3 linked regions of the Caenorhabditis elegans genome follow. The protein of the gene in region 3 purifies or fractionates together with the protein of the main gene of each other region. This does not show direct contact. Each region holds a gene or a part of one and is shown on either strand. Other genes may lie near its edges. The genes, in order: apm-3, Y50D4B.6 and apd-3.

What was found.
Region 1: the proteins of apd-3 (region 3) and apm-3 fractionate together in Caenorhabditis elegans (co-fractionation; one large-scale study listed by BioGRID). This does not show direct contact.
Region 2: the proteins of apd-3 (region 3) and Y50D4B.6 fractionate together in Caenorhabditis elegans (co-fractionation; one large-scale study listed by BioGRID). This does not show direct contact.

What each region holds. Positions count from the first base shown.
Region 1 is NC_003284.9:952,720-957,450, forward strand, and holds the start of apm-3 (MHD domain-containing protein), read left to right. Parts: upstream 1-2,255; 5' UTR 2,256-2,277; coding exon 2,278-2,312; intron 2,313-2,371; coding exon 2,372-2,450; intron 2,451-2,508; coding exon 2,509-2,614; intron 2,615-2,680; coding exon 2,681-2,793; intron 2,794-2,840; coding exon 2,841-3,122; intron 3,123-3,560; coding exon 3,561-3,674; intron 3,675-3,718; coding exon 3,719-3,792; intron 3,793-3,843; coding exon 3,844-3,946; intron 3,947-3,998; coding exon 3,999-4,244; intron 4,245-4,731. Other genes in the region: Beta-arrestin arr-1, read left to right, coding at 846-999, 1,067-1,146, 1,201-1,318.
Region 2 is NC_003283.11:1,081,860-1,086,590, reverse strand, and holds the start of Y50D4B.6 (receptor protein-tyrosine kinase), read right to left. Parts: upstream 2,276-4,731; 5' UTR 2,208-2,275; coding exon 2,089-2,207; intron 1,482-2,088; coding exon 1,177-1,481; intron 1,132-1,176; coding exon 1,011-1,131; intron 968-1,010; coding exon 784-967; intron 502-783; coding exon 392-501; intron 350-391; coding exon 95-349; intron 1-94.
Region 3 is NC_003280.10:3,544,024-3,548,754, reverse strand, and holds the start of apd-3 (AP-3 complex subunit delta), read left to right. Parts: upstream 1-2,323; 5' UTR 2,324-2,333; coding exon 2,334-2,429; intron 2,430-2,480; coding exon 2,481-2,576; intron 2,577-2,712; coding exon 2,713-2,801; intron 2,802-2,910; coding exon 2,911-2,994; intron 2,995-3,819; coding exon 3,820-4,186; intron 4,187-4,731.

The sequences.
Region 1 (4,731 bases), on a different chromosome or scaffold from region 3:
AAGAGAGGGCGCGCAAACATATATATATATCGGGATGCCGAGAGAAGAAAATGGGGGGAAAGGGAAAAGAGAGGGTAAACTTCCGCCATTTCCTTACTCAGAAGGTTCAATTTCCCCCCGTCTCCTTCTACAAACGAATTTCGCCAGTTCTCCATCTACTTAGATACACTTTTTATGTTAAGCAAAAGAGTTCAGGAGAGTGGGGAACGAATTGAGATGTTTAATTGGATAACGTTTTGGAAAGAGGAATGTATGTTTGGAATGCATATCTGCTCACTAATGGAGAACCGGGGGGTTTTTATGAACAAAAAAATTGTCGATTATTTTCAATGGAAATTTCAAAGGATATTCAGAAACAGTTGGATAGGATGTGAGACATTTATTTATCTTTTTTTAATATTTAATTAGCACACTAAAGAACCACTAAGAAATGCTATATGTACATTGAAACGATACTGCATAGTTCAACGAACTATTTACAAGTTGGCTGCCGAGACCAGGCTACCGGCAAATGGGCAATTTATAAGTTACAGAACAAATATATCGTCAATGTTAAGTTTAAGAAAACCAAAAAATCCTTCCAATTTAAAGGATTGATTTGAAAAAGGAAACTAGAAATTTTCTACAATATGTATCAAGCTTGCTTACCATTCGACAATTCAAATTATGATAAATTTTGTTGGTATTCACTAGCCAGGCGATATGCGTGTATATACAAAAAATTTTAGTTCAAAAATGTGTTATAGCATGATTCTTAGTTAACAATTGTACGTCAAAATCCAAGACAACAATGATATGAGTTTGAGCAAAAATATTTTGGCAATCAAATAATTAATTTTTTGCAGATTGGACTCTAAAACATCAAAGGAAAGTCTTGGAATTGTAGTTCAATACAGAGTGAAAGTTCGCGCAGTTCTTGGACCACTAAACGGAGAACTGTTCGCCGAGCTGCCGTTCACATTAACACACTCGAAGCCTCCAGAGAGCCCCGAGAGAACGGTAGGTTTTAATTTTCAAAATAATTTTTTTACGAATCAAATTTTGAATCCATATTATTCAATTTCAGGATCGTGGCCTTCCATCAATCGAAGCAACAAATGGCTCCGAACCAGTCGATATTGATCTCATCCAACTACACGAAGAATTGTAAGTTTTTGATTAGAGTTGAATGATTCAATTTAATACACAATGATTTTTCAGAGAGCCCCGCTACGACGACGATCTAATCTTTGAGGATTTTGCCAGAATGCGTCTCCACGGAAACGATAGTGAAGACCAGCCATCGCCAAGCGCCAACTTGCCGCCAAGCCTTCTATGAATCTGTACAATTTATCACATGATATTGTGTCACTCTGTCATTCAACTTTTCTACGTCTTTTCCACCTTTTCCCCATTTTTCATTGTTTCTTTGTAAGTACATCTTTTTGTCTATGCTTCAAGTCAATTTTTCTGTCAAATTGTCACCTTTTTCGTTTTCTTTCATTTCATTTTTTCTCATATAAATCTATTTTGCCAATTTATTTTTAAAAATCAGATTCAAAGGTTTCAAATAATATTTCAATTGTTGTTGTTAATTATTGGAATGCTATCAGAAACCTTCTATGTAATTTTCAGATTGTGGGTCTGAATTCAACGATAATCTAGAAAAAAAAACTAAAACATCTATAAAAATACAAAAAATCATTTAATTGACTAAATAATATGTGTATGAAATCAATTTACAACTTGAAAAAACTTATGAGAAAATTTGAAAGCAAGTAAGTTGAAGATTTGTTTTTAATTGGCCAGTGCATTCAGAACTTTGATCAGTGCATTCCGAACTTTCGTCAGTTCATTCAGAAGTTTGGTCAGTGCATTCAGAAGTTTGGTCAGTGCATTCAGAAGTTTGGCCCTGGGAATTTTCAAATTCGATTAGTCCATTTTCAAATTCGGTCAGTGCATTTTTCAAATTCGATATGTGCGTTTTCAAATTAGGTCAGTGCATTGTCAAATTCGGTCAGTGCATTGTCAAATTCGGTCAGTGCATCATGTTTCCAAGTGAAACAAAGAAAATCGATGATGCCCAACGCCGGACATACAACGCGATTAGATATAGTAGTGGACCTCTCCTCTTCACGCATTTGACCCGTCCTCATTCTCGTCCTGTTCTCTTTTCTTTATTTCCCTTGCCGAACGACACTCCGAAATAACTCCCTGCGCGTTGTTTATTAGCTGTTATCTACTGGAGGAGAAGGTTCATCTCGTCAAAACAAACTACTTATTTATTGGATTTTAGTTATGCTGAACAGTCTATTTTTTGTAAATAGTAGTGGGTGAGTGATTTTTGATTTGAAATTATAAAATTTTTTTGTATTACTTTTCAAAATTTCAGTGATGTATTACTTGAAAAGCATTGGAAATCTGTTATTCATCGATCAATTTGCGATTATTTCTTTGATATTCAGAAAAAGGTTAGCTTCTAAATTTTGTTAAATTAAACTGGTCTGACCAAATTCCATACATTTTCAGAGCATTCACCCCGAAGATGTGCCTCCAATAATTTCAACTCCACATCATTATTTGATAAACGTATATCAGAACAACTTATTTCTAGTCGCAGTTATCACAGTTGAAAGTGAGTATTTTTTCGGAAAAAAAAATCAAAAACCTGACCACACGATCCTACTTAATTTTTTTCCAGCACCTCCCCTCATGGTCATCGAATTTTTACACAGAGTAATTCAAACCTTCACACAATACTTTGATGAATTTTCGGATTCTTCTATGAAAGAAAATTGCGTGATGGTTTTTGAGGTGAGCTTTATAACTTCAAAATTGAGGCTTAACATTCCGATTTCCAGTTGCTCGATGAAATGCTGGACAACGGCTTTCCACTGGTGACGGAAATGAACATCCTTCAAGATTTGATCAAGCCGCCCAACTTTCTGCGCAATATTGCTAATCAGGTCACCGGCCGTACAAACCTTTCTGAAACCCTGCCAACGGGGCAGCTATCAAATATTCCATGGAGGCGACAAGGAGTGAAGTACACAAATAATGAAGCGTATTTTGATGTGATTGAGGAAATTGACGTGATTGTTGATAAGCAAGGATCCACTGTTTTTGCCGAGATTCAGGGATATGTGAGTTTTGAGTATTTGAAACAAAAAATCAAATTATGCCTTCATATTGAACATACTATTTTGTCCTGTTTATTAAAACATTTTTGTAGAACCAGAGGTTTGCGGACCTTTGTAGTAGTATTATATGCCAAAATCTTTTAAACTTCAAAACTTAAAACGTATTTTGCGGAAATAAAGCGATTATGGCTACTGATAATCTCTATCAATTTGTAATTGTAGTGAATATCGGATTGCAAAATTGTTTAGTTCTGTGCACCTCTAAAGATTTAAATACAAAATTATAAATAAACCAAATGAAAATATTTTAATAATATAATACTTCACACCACCAAATTTGGGTGCTGACGTTTTGAACTAGCATGTGTTCTGGAGGTAAAAATTCTGAAAAATATTTGGAAATATTAAGAATATATTCATCTTATCCTTGACAAATTTCAGGTTGACGTTTGCTGTAAACTGTCCGGAATGCCTGATCTCACAATGACCCTTATCAACCCAAGACTTCTAGATGATGTATCCTTCCATCCATGTGTCAGATACAAGCGCTGGGAGGTAAACCGCTCATAACATTTATATCTTAATCACAATTTTTTCAGAACGAGAAGGTTCTTTCATTTGTTCCTCCAGATGGCAACTTTCGTCTGTTGTCCTATCATATTGCTGCACAAAAGTAATGATTTTCATTCTACAGATAAAATTTCTATAACTTAATTAATTTCAGTATGGTTGCCATTCCAATCTACGTTAGACAAGTGATCTCCTTGAAACCAAATGCTGGAAAACTTGACCTCACAGTTGGACCAAAGCTAAGCATGGGTAAAGTGGTGAGTTTTCGAAGATCTAAATCACAATCCCTCTAACAAAAACGATGTTAAGCTGGAAGACGTTGTTCTTGAAATCACAATGCCAAAATGTGTACAAAACTGCAATTTGGTGGCGAGTCACGGAAGAATCGCGTTCGACCCGACGACTAAACTATTGCAATGGACCATTGGAAAAATTGAAGTCGGAAAACCATCAACACTCAAAGGATCAGTTGCTGTGAGCGGAACTACTGTTGCAGAGAATCCACCAATTTCACTGAAATTCAAAATTAACCAGTTGGTTCTGTCCGGATTAAAGGTTAGCTTTATCAGCTTGAAGTGAATACCCCTATACTTGCAAAGTAAAAACATGCAAGTTTATAAAAAAACAAATCAAGTAATCAAATTTTTAATATGACTAGGAAAACTCTTGGTAGTGGTCCTAAAAATCGTCAGATATCAATTTGAATGACCAGGAATTATACGGAAAAATCATCCAGGAAATGTAAATTCTTTTTAAAATTATATTTGTCTATCAGCGCTGTGCGGCTGTTTATCCGACTTTTTGGAGAAGTGAGATAGAATTTTAGTGAGATAAAGTTTTAAAATTTGGAAACTTTCATTCTTGCCCAGTCTCACAAAAAGTATATTAGTAGAATTCAGAAATTGTCTATGTTTTTTAAAAACTTGGGTAGAATAATATGACCGTTCGACCGTTCTCCAAGTGATCAACAATCCTGTACCTTATTGGTTGCGGTGTTACCTAACCGACTTTAAAATTTTTTTCTATACATACATTTTAGTTA
Region 2 (4,731 bases), on a different chromosome or scaffold from region 3:
ACACCCTTGGTTTCAAGTAAACAGATTAAAAATAAATGTTTTGCCTGTTCTCAAGAATACCATACGATTACTCTACAGTACTCGAAAAACTCACATTTTATCACTCCCATGCTCCGGACTTGGAAGTTGATTCCCATCTCTCACGTACTTCATCAAACCCTGGAAATAATCTGGCCGAAAATCGAGACCCTCATAAGGTGACACTCCCAATGAAAATATTTCATAAAGACAAACTCCATATGACCAAATGTCAGATTTCGAATCAAACTTTATATTCTCGCGTTCTTGTTCAAACTCGAAACACTCCGGTGCCAACCACTTCATTGGAAAACCTACGTCGGTCTTCTTTCTGAAAAAAATTTTGAAATGTTGTACACTTCAACAAACTAACCTATAATATTCTTTGTTTTCATGCCATCTAGCCAATCCAAAATCAGCAATTCGAATAATTCGATTTCTTTTGACAAACACATTTCGTAGTGCCAGATCGCGATGAACACACTAGAAAATTCTGTTGATTTTTATCTTGGATTTTTTTAAAAATTCTATTTGAATGTTGATAGTGTCCTAAATTTTGGCGGGAGTTTAAAGTTTTCTGAGCAACATTTTTGCGGGAAAATCGAAATTTCGAAATTTCGTTTTAAAAAACTCTGAATTGTCCTAGAATTCTCCTAAAAAATGTGGACATTTCTGGAAAATATCTTTTAAAAAATCGGTAGCTATGCGAAAGTTCTGGAATTATGTATATAACAAATTTAATGTTTGTAAACTGAATATCCTCACCGCGACATTGCCTAAAAACTTCATTCCATTAGCAATCTGAAAAGCAAATGATAACAAGTCCGTCGGGCACAGCAAACGACCATTATCTTCGACACAAACAATATCCTTATTGAAATATCTTCTCCGAGCTCTCAAATACTCTACAAGATCCCCTTTCTCTACGAACTCGGAAACAATAAGAATTCTGGAATATTGTGGATGTAAGTTTTTTGCTCAATAAAACTTACTCATTGGTTCGGATCCATCTAATTAGTGCAAGGATGTTTGGATGTTTTCCAACAACACACATCACGTTAAGTTCTTCACACATCAACTGTTGTTCCGATGGATCTTCAGGTCTTAATGCACCTAATATGTTAAGGTATTAATAAATAGTTACACTGTTCAACTCACGTTTAACGGCAACTTCCAAAGAATTCTCAGAGTCTAGACCATTTTTCTGTTTCTTGTGCATTCGCTCTTTGAACACTTTCCCATAATATCCATTCCCTAAGAAGCTTAAGTTGTAGAAGGAAAACTTATTGACATCAATTTCAAATCGCTCGTCAAATTTTAGGTTTTTGATTATGGCATTAATGGGTTCGGTCTCCAATCCAATTGGAACATTTTCTTCATTGGCTTGGAGGAGACTTTCATTTTCTCGGACGCTAGAAGGTGTTTTCTGGCTTGATGAGTGGATAATTCCAGATTCTAGACTTCTGAATAGGAAATCATGAAAAAATAATTTACAACTAGATTTTTTAATAGAAAAGACTGGTTTTCCAGGAGTTTTGTGGACCTTCAAAATTTTTGAAGTAGTTTTAAACAATATTCCACAGTTTTCGCAACTTTTTAAAAACTTCTGGATTTTTACTATATAGTGGGATTATTCAGAAGGTTCTAGAAATTTCTAAAAGTTTTCCAAACATTTCCAATGTTTTTCGAGTTTTGTTTGATTTAGAAACTTTTAGAAGTTTCAGTACTCACATGGTCTCAAAGTGTCTCATTTCGGTTTGATCTACAAAAAATGCGGGAATTTTTCCCCAATAAAGCGTGACGTCAGCACGCTCTTCACCATGTGAAATTAGTTAAAAAGTCTCGTCTCCTGCATTTTTTGTAGATCAAACCGAAATGAGACATTTTGACACCACATGAGTACTCTTCATCGGCTTTCTGGGAAATTTTAAATGTATTCAAAAGGTTTATTTTTCAGAAAATTTGAGTTTAACGGCATAATTTTTTGTTTTTAATATTAATTTCTCTAGAATTTTTTTTTCTCAGAAAACGTGAATTTCCAGACAAAACTGAATTTCTTCAAAAAATTACCTTGTTTCCTCATGTTCCTCTTTTCTCAAATAATAGAATTTCCAAACATAGTAAAATAAAACTGAAAGTGCAATGACCACTATGCAATAGAAAATAACCAGAATATTGCGATCAATCATGAGTTACGAATAGTATGAATGAAGTGAAATATCAGCAATAATGTATCAAGGTCAAATTTATTGCAATCTTGGTTGATTCAATCATTGAATGTATTGATAACAAAGGTTCAAACAATTTTGAAATAAGTAAAACACACTCTCAAGTGTTGCTATAAAATAATTCCTCAGCTGTCATTTGTTGTTAATCAATTATCACTTCCTTGCCAAAAAAAAACTCTCTTAATTTTATTATTTTTCGTCAGTGACTGAAGATTTCCCCACATTTCACAAAATATTATGTAACAGGTTCTTTCTATAATATTGTTATTTAATTACGTTTTTTTTTTCAAAGCTATAAAACGATGCCACCACGTAGCCCTTCGATTGGACAAAATGATAGACTGCTATCACGTAGCTCAAGCAGGAAAGATCTTTCAACCGTTTTTCAATTCTTCAAATGTCACTTACATTAAGATCAAGTTCAAGATCACGATCAAACGATTCCCAGTGCAAAACCAAACTTAAAATAATTTTAATATACATTGGAATTTTGATCATATCAGCACCAATTGCTTATGGCTTGACAGTTCTGACTAGTAATGGTAGCGAGCCTAGTAAGTAGTAGAACGTGGGGAGTTTTGTTGAAAATAATAAATGTTTTACATGTTTCATAAAAAATGCATTTGATATCATCAGTAATATTGGGTCTTCTCATTTGGAAGATTTTACGCAATCATCATCAATTAATAAACCGACACCGGAAACTCCTGGTGAGTTTTCTTTTTAATATTAATTTGGAATGTTTATAGTTAGCTGTTTTTCTCATGTTAAATCTCTTCCTAATGTCTACTGTCCTTCCTAATATTTCTTCCTAATACCAAAAAACTAGGTAGTTCCATTTTGGTGTTCCATGGGTTTTTTAAGGAATTAATTGTGAATGTTATATGACTAACTGGTTACTATATTCTGGCTACATAAAAGGCAGTATGTGTACTTGTACTAGATTTAATCTCTTTGAAGTGTGAAAGTAAAATTCTTGTGGTGGTCAAATAATCGGCATCTCGGGCTAGCTTCTTGCCCGAGTTTGGCCCTACAATATTAACATCGTCTTCTTGCTGGAGACAACGGTCGTTCCCAAGTACTATAATTAATCCCTCAAACAGTTCCTAACTGTCTTGCAGCAAAACAGTCCATATGTTTTCCAGTGTCACATGAGAATATTTCGTATACACCAATCAGATCTAGAGGCGACATTATTCCATTAAATCCGGATTGGGGAGAGAACTACGCGAAATTTACATATGACATTATCAGCAACACTTATTCATACAAACGACATGGTGGATCATCATTTGAACCGTATTCCGTTTTTAATGTACAACGAGTAGAAAATAGGACGTTGGGTGCCGTTTATTTCAAAATATTGATAAAAGGACTTCTGGAGCTGTGGGTTTTTAGTTTATTTAACAAAATATTTTTATCATCGGTATTTCTAGCTTGAATGGAAGTTCGACTTGAAATCTGAGGGAAAATCAATTGAAAAAATAGTAATTAAAATGGAAGGAATACAAGAGATTGCTGATGGTAATGGAATAATCAAAGCCTGTCCATATTTGTTGAATGTAAGAAAAACAATACAGTGTTTTTTAACCTCAATACTCAGATATGCCCTAAGATTCCAATAAATCAGAGTCTGACCATTGAGAAGCCTACAAGTGATAAATTATTTATACATGTGAGTTATATATATGCTAAATAAGGTAAGGTAACATTTACTATTTCAGATAAATCTGGACAAAGATATAAAAGTTTTCAAAGCAGACCTGAAGAATGGAAACAAAGTGGAGAGTTTTTCAATTGAAGTCTACTGGGGTGGTTAAGTTTTATTTGTAATTTTAAACGAACTGCACCTAATTTATTCAAGCTGTGAGCGGCGAAAAGAGCAAACTCTTAAAAATATAATTATGGCAATAGTTTCCATTGGACTTGTTTTCATTGTTGTCTTGCAATTAAAACAACTATATGATTTCCAGTGTCAGATCAGTATTTTTTATCTATATACTTCTATTCTCCAAGCGAAATTATTCCATTACATCCGGATTTGGAAGATAACTACGTGAAATTTACATATGACATTATCAGCAACACTTATTCACACAAACGACAAAATGGATCATCACTTGAACCGTATTTCGTTGGTAATGTAAAACGAGTAGAAAATAGGACATTGGGTGTCGTTTATTTTGAAAAAATCGATAAAACAATTATTGGAACAGTGGGTTTTAAGTATCTTTCACAAACTGTTGTCCATCGGTATTTTCTAGATTCTCTGGGAGTTCGGATTAAAGGTTGTTGGGAAATCAATTGAAAAAATAGTAATTAAAATGAATGGAATGCAAGAAATTGATGATTATGGAGAAAGTGCCGCAGCTTGTCAACCTTCTTTGAATGTAAGAAAAAAATACAGTTTTTTAAATTAACCTTAATTTTCAGAAATGCACTGAGATCCAAATAAATGACAGTTTGACTATTGAAAAGCCCAGTG
Region 3 (4,731 bases):
AGAAGAATAAAATGGCTTTTTGCAATATTTTTCATATTTTTCTGATCATGCATTTTTTGCTGTTTTACGATTCATATCTTTGCGCACATATGAGATATAACAAAACGGTCAACTGAATACCTGTTAATAATAAAAAAGCACTTATTTTTTGATTTAAAGATTTTTGATCAGACACCTGGTTTTGGAGTTACTGGCAAAAACATGAAAAATTAGGATTTTTTGAAAATTGGACCAAGCGCACTTCTATCGACTGTAACTCAGAAACGTGAGGAGATCCAACGTTGCACCAAACTGATAAATTGTAGCTTATAATATGTACATTAATGTTGTAATACATTACTTTTGTATATCTCTCATGGTTTCAAAGTTAGCACCGCTCAAAAATAAAAAAGACAATTTTGCAAGCGTTTTAGGCACTTCCAACAGATGTAGCGCTACCAATAAGCTATGCCTGAGTCTGAAAATTTTCAGTTTTATTTAACTAACTGTCTAATACATCTACGCATACAAAGTTTTTGATTTCATGAGGAAATAAAAAAAATCGAAAAAAAAAATTTTGTTTCGTTGTCATAGTTCGGAGTTTTAAACAACCTGGAAGTTGACCGAAATGGCTGATATCGTTGGGCTTGTCATTACTAACAGTCCTCTATACAACCGCAAAAAAATATCCAAGAAAAAATCAAAACTGGAAAAAAACGACAAAACTTATTGAACGACCTAATAGTTTGTGCTCGCCGCTGACTAAAATTGATAAGATAATTTTAGTTCTTATCTGTCTGTCTCCCGCTCGTACTGTTCCTCCAGTTGTTATTAGTCTTCTATGATTCTGCTAGATAATAATAAATGTTTTGTCTGAAATTGTCTGAAAATTCCATGCGATCACATTTCGAAGAGGCGGCGGCGACGGTTCGAAAAAATTCAAAAAGTCTGAGAAATCGACGAGCCGATCAGGGGTTTCTCCTAGCGCAGACGTCATTTCAGTTGTGAGTTTTTGAAAAAAAAGATTGAACAGATGAAAACGCGCTCTATTGCGAATTATCGGTGAATCTCATTAGAGCGCGCTTTCTAGAAGGTTTTAAGATGAACATTTCGAAAAAAAACGTTCCAATTTCCTTTTTTAGGTCAAACTTCTGGCCTAGAATTCCCTCTAGTCCCTCCAACACTTGTCGTTGTCCTTAATAATTCTTCAGTGCCTTTGGTCGATATATCCGTCTCCGCAAGCTGTGCTGCTGCACCCCTCTGTGCCGCTACTTTCCTGTCTGCGTCTCGACCCCTGCCCGCTCTATTTCCCTCATTTTCTCTCCGCACGTTCTATGTTTGATTCTATCTTTGGGGCGAGGAGGGAAGAAGATGCGTCGTCTTTTTCGTCCTCTTTTAGGAGCCCTTCTGTGTTTGGAACTGACGCAGAAGCTGAAGAGATGGAGGACGACGTCCCCATTTAATCCTTCACTCATTTTATCGCCTTTTCCCCACAAAAACCCGCGCTTTTCGGACATTTTTTTGGAATTTTTCGGGTTTTTTTTTGAGGCATGTTGCACCATGTTAGTTCCTGCGAATTTAAGGTTTTTATTTTATTGTGAAATTTTTTTAAAGATTTTTTTAAATTTTGAAAAACATTAATTTGTCTGTTTTAAAGCAAATTTAGAATTTAATTTACCTATTTTTTTCGGATTTTCTTCTATTTCTGGCCATCTAAACCGAAATTAGAATGGATTTTACAGAAATGCTACCCAAAATTAATTCATTTAAACATTTCCGGTTTTCTTGTGGCTTTTCGTGATTAATTTATTCATTTTTACCAAGAAAAAACAATAAAAATCGATAAAAACTTCAATAAATCGATTTATTCGAGTACTGTTTTAAAGGCGCATGACATCAAGATTTTGTTGGGTTTTGACACGAGTTTTTGTTTTGTGCGAGTTCAGGTTGACTCTTTTGTATTTTTCAATTAAAGAAATTGTGAAATAGGTTGATGAAATTTTAAAAACACTTTTTATTGTTTTCGTGGAGAAAAAATCAGATTTCGTGCTTAAATTCTGAAAAATTATGGTAAAAACCGTATGCCTTCTTTAAAGGTACATGGAGGAAGTTTTAGTTTGGGTCTCGAGGCGATAGTTTTGAAGATTATTTTATTTTATTTTTTGACGGTTTTAAAGCAATTTTTCTCTATTTAACCAAGATTTTTTGTTGTTTTTGTCACAAAAATCACAACATTAAATTTTTTAAAAATATTTTTCACAAAAATCACCTCACCGAACCCTTCTGCGTGTCATTTTTCACTCCCAAAACGAAAAAAACTTTAAAAAAAGCAAAATTTTTTCAGATTCGAAGAAATGGCGTTACGCAAGGTGCGTAGCAACATTGACCGGATCTTTGACAAGTCTCTGACCGACTTGATCCGCGGAATTCGCAATAATAAGGATAATGAGGTGGGATTTATTGGTTTTCCGGGAAAAAATCTAATTTTTTGATATTTTCAGTCCCGATACATCACTCAATGTATGGAAGAGATCAAGCAGGAGCTCCGACAAGACTCGATTTATGTGAAGGCGAACGCAATTGAAAAGTTGGCCTATGTGAGTTCCGGCGTGCCGAAAAACTTGAAAATTAGCCTCTATTCAGTGGAAAAACGCTCTAAAAATGAAGAAAAACACGAAAAATTGAATTTTTCACTTAAAAATCTGTAAAAACCATGACTTTTTATGTTTTCAGCTCCAAATGCTCGGTTATGACATCTCATGGGCTTCGTTCAACGTGATAGAAGTGATGGCTTCTACAAAATACACGGAAAAGCGAATAGGGTTGGTTTTTATTCGATTTTTGCTGAATTTTGACCTAAAAACTCCGGTTAAAACGTATTTTTCGATGATTTTAAGCCGAAAATTCAGTAAAAAATCAATAATTTTTCAGATATCTCGCCGCTGCACAAAGCTTCCACGATGAGACTGATGTCCTTATGTTGACGACGAATTTGATAAGAAAAGATGTGAATAGGTAAGGTTCTTGGGCGAAAAAGTGTGAAAAACTGGAAAAAATACAAATTTTCGCCAATTTTGAGCTAAAAAATGCGATTTTTGATGTTGGAAATGTTGAAAAAATGCAAATTTGGATTTTGGCAAGAAATTTCTGGAAATTTACAAATAAAAAATGAAATTTCATTTTTTTAAATTAGAATCTTTTTAAAATTTTATTTTTCTAATAAAAAAAACCGAAAAATATCATTTTTTCTGAAAAAAAAATTGAAAAATTATTTTTTTCTCAAAAAATTCAATTTTTTATCTAAAAAAACGATAAAAAACCATAATCAGAAAAAAAGGCAAAAATCCAGATTTTTCTTTTAAAAAATGGATAAAAAACACAATTTTTTCTCTAAAAAATCAAAAAAATTCAGATTTTTGCTTTAAAAAATACAATTTTTTATCTAAAAAATTGATAAAAAATGCATATTTTTTCTGAAAAAAAGGCAAAAATCTAGATTTTTCTGAAAAAAATTGATAAAAAATCCATTATTTTCTCTAAAAAAATCGAAAAAGTTCAGATTTTTTCCCAAAAAAAGGGGAAAAGAAAAAATATAGATTTTTATTTAAAAATTGATAAAAAATCCAATTTTTTCTAAAAAAAAACGGAAAAAATTCGGTTGTTTCTCAAAAAAAAGGAAAAATATAGATTTTATTTCCAAAATAAAATGAAAAAAAAACTGGAAAAAATAATATTTTTTCAAAAAAAATTTTTTTGCCAAAAAATCAATTTTTTCCTCAAAATATCGAAAAAGTTCCAATTTTTTTCAAAAAAAAAATCACGAAAAATTCAATTTTTCAGCTCAAATATGTACGAAAGCGGTATCGCATTGGGTGGTCTCAGCTGCTTCGTAACTCCAGATTTGGCTCGAGATCTCGCAGCGGACGTTGTAAATTTGCTCTCTTGCTCGCGGAATTATACGAGAAAACGGGCGGTTCTGCTGCTTTATAAGATATTTTTAAAGTATCCAGACGCTCTACGACCAACATTTCCCCGATTGAAAGAAAAATTGGAAGATCCGGATCCGGGAGTTCAGAGCTCGGCGGTTAATGTGATTTGTGAGCTGGCGAGGAAAAATCCGAAGAATTATTTGACACTGGCACCGGTTTTCTTTAAATTAATGACTACTTCTTCGAATAATTGGATGCTTATTAAAATTATTAAATTGGTACGGACATTTCGAGGCAGAAATTGGAAAAAATCGGTTGAAAATTGATTTTTTTTCCGAAAAAATCGTTTTTTTTCGGTTACTTATGCGAAAAAATTGAATTTTTTTCGATTATTTTAAGCGAAAAAATTGGATTTTTTTCGAAAAAAATGATAATAAAATTTCGATTTTCTTTAGAGAAAAAATTGAATTTTTTCGGATTTTTTTTCGATTTTTTTTTCAGAATTTTTTTGGAGAAAAATTGAATTTTTTCGGATTTTTTTTCGATTTTTTTTTCAGAATTTTTTTGGAGAAAAATTGAATTTTTTCGATTTTTTTCTAAAAAAAAGTGAAATTTTCAGATTTTTTTTTTGAGAAAAAAAGCTAATTTTTTTTTCTGAAAAATTGAAGTATTCCGAATTTTTTTTGAATTTTTCGCAAAAAAAAAATAAAAATCTGAAAAAATTTGGAAAAATAATGAAAAAAAAATTTTTTTTTACCAACTTTTTAGGAAAAAAATGAAGCAAAAAATTCGAAAAATTTATAAGTTTTTAAAATTTCAATGT